Linked DNA regions of Oryzias latipes. The protein of the gene in region 1 purifies or fractionates together with the protein of each later gene. This does not show direct contact. Links are inferred from orthologs where the notes say so. Each region holds a gene or a part of one and is shown in the gene's direction. Other genes may lie near its edges.

The links.
Region 2: the proteins of strn3 (region 1) and fgfr1op2 purify together in Homo sapiens (affinity purification with mass spectrometry; 5 studies listed by BioGRID and IntAct, with this or other methods). This does not show direct contact. The link is inferred for Oryzias latipes from reciprocal best matches to the Homo sapiens genes STRN3 and FGFR1OP2.
Region 3: the proteins of strn3 (region 1) and cct3 purify together in Homo sapiens (affinity purification with mass spectrometry; 3 studies listed by BioGRID and IntAct, with this or other methods). This does not show direct contact. The link is inferred for Oryzias latipes from reciprocal best matches to the Homo sapiens genes STRN3 and CCT3.

What each region holds. Positions count from the first base shown.
Region 1 is NC_019880.2:2,602,885-2,606,644, reverse strand, and holds the start of strn3 (striatin-3), read left to right. Parts: upstream 1-1,308; 5' UTR 1,309-1,569; coding exon 1,570-1,806; intron 1,807-3,719; coding exon 3,720-3,760. UniProt on the Homo sapiens protein: Calmodulin-binding scaffolding protein which is the center of the striatin-interacting phosphatase and kinase (STRIPAK) complexes.
Region 2 is NC_019881.2:3,917,780-3,921,019, forward strand, and holds the end of fgfr1op2 (FGFR1 oncogene partner 2), read left to right. Parts: intron 1-2,347; coding exon 2,348-2,485; 3' UTR 2,486-2,654; downstream 2,655-3,240. UniProt on the Homo sapiens protein: May be involved in wound healing pathway.
Region 3 is NC_019869.2:4,734,894-4,737,345, forward strand, and holds part of cct3 (T-complex protein 1 subunit gamma), read left to right. Parts: intron 1-1,861; coding exon 1,862-2,048; intron 2,049-2,132; coding exon 2,133-2,282; intron 2,283-2,353; coding exon 2,354-2,452. UniProt on the Homo sapiens protein: Component of the chaperonin-containing T-complex (TRiC), a molecular chaperone complex that assists the folding of actin, tubulin and other proteins upon ATP hydrolysis.

The sequences.
Region 1 (3,760 bases):
AATATCATATTAAGCTGGATGCTTCGCCTAAAGCACTTACCTTTAGCTTGTAGCATAACAACAATAGCAGTACGTCCCGTTTCCCAGAGTGCTTTGCTGCCAATCACTAGCCAATCACCGTGTCCCTGTGACCAAGGTCTAACAACAAGACCAATGATTGGCCAGTGATTTGCAGCAAAGCACTCTGGGAAACGGGACGTACTGCTATTGTTGTTATGCTACAAGCTAAAGGTAAGTGCTTTAGGCGAAGCATCCAGCTTAATATGATATTTTTCAGATTTTCATCGAGAAAATAACAGATCGACCATTCTTGCTTTTATTTTTACCCCTATTGAATGCTCACAGAGACACGGAAGTAGCGGCAGGAAGCGGCTTTTGCAGCAAGATGACTGAGGGCGTACCAGATGTGAACGTGAAAACGATGGATGCTTCTGTGCTTTTATAAATAAAATAAATAAATCTGTTCTCTAAACATCCTCCGTGTCTTCAATGCAATGTAATGAGACACACACAGACAGAAATGTGAAGGTATCTGCTGTAAATCTATGACGTAAATTAATAACAGGAAATGATCGGCTAGTCAGTTAGCATGTAGCCTAATAGCCTTCGAATGTAAAAATACTGACTGCTAAAGTTAATAAAAGACAAGTCCTGAATATTATTATTCCTATTCGACCCTAAACTACAATATCAGCTGTCTGACAACAGACCAGCCAGTTGCCCAAATGCCGGCATACATGATCAGACAGAGAGCTCTGCGGCGGAGCTAGCCTAGCAGGAGCTATCGTTTGACAAAGCAGCCTAGTTATCATAAATCTTTTGATATTTTTCTTATATTCATTGAGACGGTAATAAAGTGATCATTTTTGTTTTTCATGTTCCTTTTTTGAACGAATATGGGTCACAGAGACACGGAAGTTACCGCTGAAAGCGGCTTTTGCCGGCGTACAGAGAGCATATCCGCGTGAATGACTTATGACGTGAATAATTATTGCGTTCGAACGGATTAATTATTGCGTTCGAACGACATAATTATTGCGTTCGCACAAGTTAATCATTTCGAGGGAACGGAATAGTATTTTGAGGGAACGCAATAGTATCTTGTGGGAACGGAAAAGTATCTTGTGGGAACGGAATAGTATTTCGTGCGAACGACATAATAACCTGTGGGAACAAGATATTAATCTGTGGGAACAAGATATATTTTTATATCTTAATGTCAGGACACGGGCTCCGTAATTTTATTTTTAGGTTTGGGGTCTAAATGTGTGTCTGGATTTCCCGGCATGCAGCGCGGCAGGATTCCCCCTCGCAGCCGTCACATCCAGGCGGACAGCAGTGATGGCGGCCGGTGAGACTCACACGTAAACACCGCCTCCAAGTCGCCGCTCTCCGCTAAGCGCTCAGGGGCAGCCGGCCTCTTCCACGGCGGCGGTGCCAGCGCGACAAGTACCCCGGCGGAGACGCGCGAGGCCTTCGGCGCCTTTTTTTTTCCTTCTTTAATATTTAAAATCGGTTAGCTAATCATTAAGTACAAACGGCGCCGCACGTTCTAACAAAACCCGAAATATGGACGAACACCCAGGCGGGGGAGGAGCGGCCTCCCCGCGGCCGCCGCCGCTGCAGCAGCACGGGAGCAACTCCGGACCTCCCATCGGAACGGTCATGGTGCCCCAGCAGACGGACGAGTTAGCCCGGCCACAGCAGCAGTACACTATCCCGGGAATTCTACACTACATCCAGCACGAGTGGGCCCGGTTCGAAATGGAGAGGGCGCACTGGGAGGTGGAGCGGGCCGAACTCCAGGTTAGTCCGTCGCTATGGGTTAGCTGCTTAGCATTAGCATGGTTAGCTTCTTTTTTTCCACAGTCACCGGGGATCTCAAATAACCTTTTATCGGTATACGTATTAACGTGAATTTAAGGTAGCGACCGGAGCCCCACTGACATGTCAAGGGGGACGAGTAACCGGCGTGGAGGTCTGTTATCCAGCCGGGAGTCTGAGTGCGTTGGCCGTTAGCTTTGGAGCCCGTGGCTCAACTGAGATATCGGGAGCCTGCAGCCGCCGTGGATACGTTAATCGTGCTGTTTTGACATTTGGACCAGATGTTGGTCAGATGTTGTTCGTGACAGTCAGACGACCCTAAACGAATGACCTTACCGATTCAAATCCGTGATTCTGGAGGTTTTTTTTAATCAACCTATACATAGAAAAGTGGCTTTTTCTGGTTCTCTGGTTGGCTGCGAAGCATCTTTCAGGTCACACCTCCCTCTGGAAGATCTCCTGCATTCTAGGTCTTTATTTGCTGTCAGTTTTTTTATTTATTTACATGAATTCCTGTACATTTTCCATTTGAAGTCTGTGGATTTCTCCTTGGAAACAGCCTGTAAACAAACATGACTTCCCGATGAGAGAAGCGGGATCTGGAGCTGCTCCATGTTCTTCATGGAGCTCCAGGTGTGTGTTGGCTTTGCCGTGTCCAGCAGCAGATCTGCTGCTTCTACATCTCAGTTTGTGTGACAGAAGCAGACCCTTTTGGGTTTTTAGAAGGAATATCTGGCATCATCTCAGCTGTGGAGATGTTTCTGTCGGGGGGGGGGGGGGGGGGACGCTTTAATAAAGGCTAAAAACAAAATGAGAGTGTTGGTAGTGATATCATTTCATCACCATTGAACAATAAGGTTACTCCTCAGAGCCATTGAACGTATTGTGAGTCTCCAGGATGAGGATGATGAAGAGGCCGGAGGATTCTGCTCTGATCCTGGTCTGTGATGTCACAACCCAAAGGATGGTCCAATCAGATATTTATAGAAGTAGGTGACCCTGAACCAACGTCAGGCTCTCACATCAAACTGCATGGATCTCCCTTTTGGAGATTTGATATTTAAATTCCCTTAAAATTTAACTCACGAAGCAGAAGGAGACACTGGTGGGTTTATAATAACGAGGAAAAAGGAGTTAGTTTTAACCAAAATATGCTTTTTTTTCCTGTTATGGCATTATGTCTGCGCTGTTATTGATGTACACAATATTTTACATAATAAATGTGTTTTTAAATCATTCTTTTTTTATTAGAAACTGTCGAATTCTTTCATTTTTTAGATTTTATTAAATTTTTCCTCCTCATGTTTTAAGTCTTTTTGTTCTTCTGCAATGTTGCCACTAGATGGCACTAGATGTTTACACAGCAACCTCAAAAAGCCAAAAATAAATGTAAAAAAAAAATCAATTGTATTGTATCTTCCAGCTTCCAGAGCCACGTTTTGCTCCTCTGGACATGAATTCAGAGCAAAACTCTGACAGTGTGACGTCGTCGGTCTTAAATAGCTGTACTGACACAACGACAGTGGCGTTTTAATGAGGTGACGTGGTTGAATAACTGCAGCCCACATGTGCTGTTTTGGTCAGGGGTGTTGAGAAGCTCCCGATGACTCACAGGAACTCTGTCTGGTTTGTCATCGCCATACATTTAGGCTGAGCTGCTCACCGAACCTCCTTTCCAGTGTCTGATTCATGTAGGTGTCACATGACCTCACTCAACTCAACAACCATGTAAACAATCTTTAAAGAGTGACTCCCATATCTTTCAGAAACCTATCATAAAGAGAAGATCCAGGAGGATTTGGTTTCTCTGGAAGTGACTCGGTTGTTTTCTTGACACAATATTTTTGTGTACATAAGAGTTTTGAAACATTTGTTTCTGTTCTGCGTCTTTCCAGGCCCGGATAGCGTTCCTGCAGGGGGAGAGGAAGGGCCAGGA
Region 2 (3,240 bases), on another chromosome or scaffold:
AACACGCATTCGCCGCCTCACAGACAGGCATCACGCGAGTGTGTGCTTGCGTTTCATGAATATGTGCACGAGTGTGTGTGTCTGCCTGCGTGCGTGTGCGCTCGCGTATCATTGATTATTTCATTGATCATTGACGTGCCCCTTCCACGTTTAATGTATAAAAAAATACGGAGGGTGGGGGAGGCAAATTTACTGGTAGCACATGTGCGACTGGATGTAAAATTCAGTCGCACACTCTCAAATTTTGGTCGCAGTCTGGAGCCCTGGTGGGATTTGATAGTTTCCTTTGACCTGTTTGAGGAATTTGATCATTTTGAAGACAAAGAGAGAAGACAACCTTTAAAGTTTAGCTTCATCTGAACAAAATCCAACATTTAGAGGTGAGCTTTCCCTCTGAAATGATGCTTTGTTCCTCTTTTCGTTAAAAACAATTTAAACTTTAAAATATGACATGATTGAAGTTCTGATACTTAATCTTTATGTTTTTGTGAGTGAGCATGGTATAAGCGGGACAATGCTCTTCAAGGTGTACATTTTCAGGCATGGCCAGACTTTAAGGAAGTAACCATCCAACGCAAAAAAAAAAAAAAAAAAAAAAAAAAGATTAACCCGATAAAAATAGAGACAAATAAAAAAGGCAAGAAAGTTTGTAATTTATTAATCGCAATTAACATAATAATTTGACACCACTAGAAAAAATGCTTAAAAAATGTAAAAAATGACAGATAAAACTGAATTATAAATGAGTGAAAACTGTGATCAAGACGGTCACAGTAATCTGTGCAATTCTCTGTTGGTTTGGCCTTAAAGACATTTAATGGTAGTTCAATTAGTCTCCAACTTTTTTGTCAGATTTTCCAGGCCGCAGGAGTTGCACGTTCAAAAGTTTCCATCAGGGTTCCTGTTAGGGATGGGCGATAAATTGGTTCCTGTATCTGTATTGCACAATATTTGCATAATTTGCATTTCAGATATTCAAAATCTACCATGATCTCCTGACTGTTTTTTAATAACATTTGAACCTATGTGCAAAAAGAAACACAAAGTTGTGTAAATGGCTGCAATGTGCCTGCTTCGTGCTACACATCTTTTCAAAACAAGGTTGCAGGTTTGTTACTGCAGCAACTCTCAAGTCCTGCTCATTATTGAGCCTAGCTCTGTGCTTTGTTTTCAAAGTGGTAACAGCAGAAAATGGAACGTAAAATGGAAGCAGAATGCCCCCAGCCTTTTGCCCTTTGAGTGAATGCTCCCTCTCTCTACACCCAGCAGGATTCAGGGGGTGTCTGTGCTGTAAACCTCATCTTCAGGGTGGAGTCTGACGGGATTTCAATGGACTGATCCTCCTCAGCAGAGCTCGCATCAGCAGCTGGATCTATCAGCCAGTCGTATTGAGAACTGTTGTCTAAGAAACATTTGAGAAAGAATCCTCGCAGGGAAGACGTGTACAAGTGAATGATCCTTAATAAATTAAATAAAGGATCATTGATTTTGTATGTTCTCAAACTGTAGGACACGCCTCCCTTGGGGGGCGCGGAGGCATTAGCCATTATACATGCTTTTCTCCATTCTTCAACAAATCACAGTTTCCAATCTGTACCGGTCGCATGTGCTAAATGCGTCAACGTCCAGGCGGCATTAGCGTTATTTTAAGATGTTAAACCGCAGTTGACAACCATAATTACGTCTTCAAATGTCACGGTTAGGATCAGCTCGATGTAAGTGACGTGACACCCGCGGATATGCAGTCCCGAACCGCGGTTTGTTTGTGTTCCGCTGCGAAAAAAATTCCGATGTCCAAACATTAGTCGTCCTCCCCACTTCCCAGCCTTGTCCCACCCAGTGACTCGCACCCCCCCCATGGAGGTGCGCTCCACAGTTTGAGAGCCACACCTGTGGACACTTAAGTATCGGTATCGGCAAATATCGGCTATCAGCCACACAGTTGTAGGGGAAATACGGGTTATCGGTATCGGACGTAAAAAAAATTATATCGCCCATCCCTAATTTTTATGACCTCAAAAGAGAGATGATCCGCAACAAGAAATAATCGTGTCATCAGCATAAAAGTGCAAGTTAGCTGTTGAGACATTTTGACCGTGTCGTTGACATAGAACATAAAAAAGTGGTTCTAAAAGTGAACCCAACACTGTCAGCTTTGGGAAAAGACAATGAATTGTTGATGTCGAGCCTAATTCACTGTGGGAGGCTTAATTTGATTGCTTATACATGATCGGACAAACTGTTGATATTGAACACGTTTTTTAAAGCATATGTGTGAATCTTGCTCCTCTCTGTCTGCCGTAGCCGTTCAGAGACTTTAGAGGTGGGTTGTGTTTGTGCGTTCCAGATGGAGAACTGTGGCCTCCGAGAGCTGCTGGGGATCAGCCGTGAGGCCTTCCTCATCCTGAAGAGGGAGGAGCCGTCGGAGAACACGTCGCTGTCGCCGCTGCTGAGCAGCACCGACGTCAGCCTACGAAAGACTTAGTGTCCGCTCCCACCCCGCCACACTACTGCCAAAGCAGCCAGCGGCCCAGAATGCATTGCGTCATGTCTTTGTTACAGCATGTATGAGCCTGTGGTGCCTGTGTACCTCCTAACCCGGGAAGAAGAGAGGTGTTGCTTGAAATGAAATAAATGATTATCAGGTGGTTTGGATTGAGTTTTGAACGTCCTCACAGACTCACAGTGTTCTGATTCTGGTGAACTGCCTCTCTCTTTCCAGTGCTTGTGTTATTGATGTTTATCGCCCACATCTGCTCCAAAAACAGGAAGAGAAATCCACCACAGCAGGCGTGACCCAACATGCTGTTTCACTGCTGCTGGCAGCATTCAGCTCACAGACGCTGAAATGCAGAAATATTCAGGTAGCAAACACGTAGGCGTCACCAAAACGGGCCCGGATTGCTGTGTCTGAGCAGACCCCTGGAATGGTTCAAAAAGAAGAAAAGAGAGTGATGTGGAAGTTTGGTGGCAAACCACGGCGGGGGAGTTGCTTGATCTGAAGTCACTGCAGATAGAATTATTGTGGACTCTCTGCTTCATACCTGAAAACTGTAGACAGCATCTGAAGATCAACCTGCTCTGAGGCACACACCGAACAGAGAAGCTGTGAGAAAAGAGTCAAACTGTTGCCTCTCGCTTCCTCGTGTCATCTTTACTTTTAATGAAGTAAATGATACCTGACAGTTTAGGACTCGTGAAAAGAGGAACATCCCTTTGAACGTGGACTCCAAGCACTTT
Region 3 (2,452 bases), on another chromosome or scaffold:
ATCCAACAAAATTAACTTGTGGAACATTTAAAATATATATATTTTATAAATATAATGACAGACTGAAGCCAGTTTTTATGGAACTTTATTATTAGTGTCTTTGTAACGTTACAGAGGCGGAGTTGAGCTGGAAAAAGCCCCGCCTCCCCTCGTGAGAGCGCCGCGTCTTTACTGCCCATGGCAAGAATCCAAAACATGATCATCTTTTCAGTCTGTTTTTTTTATGATTCCATGTCAAAATGAATCAACTGGAGGCAGAATTAGGATTTTTTTTTTTTTTGTCGATCTGCTCCCCTTCAGTAAATCTGTCCTCGTTTTCTCAGCAGGTTTTTTTATTTGACCGTACAGTTGGTTCACCACAGGTGAAGACTGAAGACTGAAAGCCCTCTTCTCAGGGGGGCGATTTTCAGCAGGAAAACAGACACAACTCAACATTTCATAGACGGCGTGAAAACGGCAAAAGCAGAAGCAAAGATTGATTAAAAAAAATCAAAACGGAAGTTCCTCAGGAAAACATTTGTTTTTATCTGATGTTTTAATTATGTTGTCTTTCCATAAAATCATTTTTTAATATAACACCTATAGTTTTTCTTTCTAAAATATGGAATAATTTGGTTGGTAGAACTTTTTTTTTTTTCATTTATCAGCCAACTTGGCTGGTTAGTCAAAACTTAGATTTTGTTCTCTGGGTTTGTGACTTTAAACTTGGTGCATCAAACCAATCATTCATTCATCTTCTAAACCCGTTTTTGCCCCTTTCGGGGTCACGGGGCTGCTGGAGCCTATCCTGGCCACTCGTGGGTGAAGGCAGGGGACGTTATAGACAGGTCACCTGTCTGTCGCGGTGCCACAAATCAAACACCCACACAGACTCACATTCACACCTAGGTACAATTTAAAGTCACCAATTAACCTACGAAGAATGTTTTTGGGAGGAAGCCGGAGAAAACCCCCACATGCACGCACGGGGAGAACATGCGTCAAGCCACTCGCAGCAAAACAGTTTCAAGGCTGCTTCTACCAAATATGCTCTGCCGAGTGCGTTCTAGTATTTCTCTTTAGGAGGTGCTTAAGCTAGCGGTAGCTCCCAAAACATCTGCTGTATTGATTTCACAGTCAATGGAAACGCAGCCAGTGACAAATCTGTTTGATTTATGTAAAACAGAAGGAACATGAGCATTTTTGCTTTAAAAAAAAATTCTTGTATTTCTATGAACATATATAAAACAAATAAAATGAATAAATAAAAAACTAACATTATGATGGTAAATCTAATCAAAATCACCTTTGGTACAAAAACGTTTTACCTACTGCATGTAGGATGAAAACCCACCTTCCATCTCCTCTAGTCATCGTCCTGGTTCAACACAATGGTTTTCACAATACGAATGACTTTATTCACAAGTTCTAACAAAACACCAGTAAACAGCTAAAAACGATCGTTTTTTCTTTTCTTTTCCCATGATTCTCTAAAGTCACTGCCGCAAAACTCAATGCGGCTCATGAAACTACTGTAATATCAGTGCAAAGCTGCTTTTCTCAGAACCTGTTGGAATTGCATTAATTGGTTCAATTAGTTCAGAAAGGGTGTATCATATTCTGTCAATGGCAACAACTCCAGTCTTAAAGGGTTTAGTAATAGCATCCATAGTCTGGAGTGTTTTTGACTTTTTTTTTATTTATTTTTTTTTATAAATTGAATCCCTTATTCACATCAATTTCTTTCAAGACAGAACCATTTTTTTATTTTTGGTTGCAGGTGTAGTGGAGAAATGTATCCCGTTGAAATAATCTTTTTAATGAATATCACGGCTCAGGAGTAAATCTAAAGGCGTGTCTTAAAGAGTTGAACTTTCTGCAGCACTCCTGTGGACACATCAGATCGCTCCATGATGCTGAAGATCGTCAACTCTGCCATCAACACCAAGGCTCTATTCCGCTGGTCCGACCTGGCCTGCACCATCGCCCTGGACGCCGTCCGCACGGTGGAGCTGGAGGAGAATGGGCGCAAAGAAATCGACATCAAGAACTACGCCAAAGTAGAAAAGGTACTACCCTTGAATAACTTCATATCAAACAGGTGCGACTTTAAATGCGGTGAGTTACAAACGGCTTCCTCTGTGATCCTGCAGGTTCCGGGCGGGTTCATCGAGGACTCCTGTGTGCTGAAAGGCGTGATGATCAACAAGGACGTCACTCACCCCAAAATGAGACGGATGATCAAAAACCCCAGGATTGTGCTGCTGGACTGTTCTCTGGAGTACAAGAAAGGAGAGAGTCAGGTACAGTGCACTGGAGCTCGTGTCCTCAACGGCGCCGTGGTGCAGCGTTTGACCCGCCTGTTTGCCTCTAGACCGACATCGAGATCAGCAAGGAGGAGGACTTCTCCAGAATCCTGCAAATGGAAGAAGATTACATCCAGCAGATCTGTGAGGACATCGTCCGCCTCAAG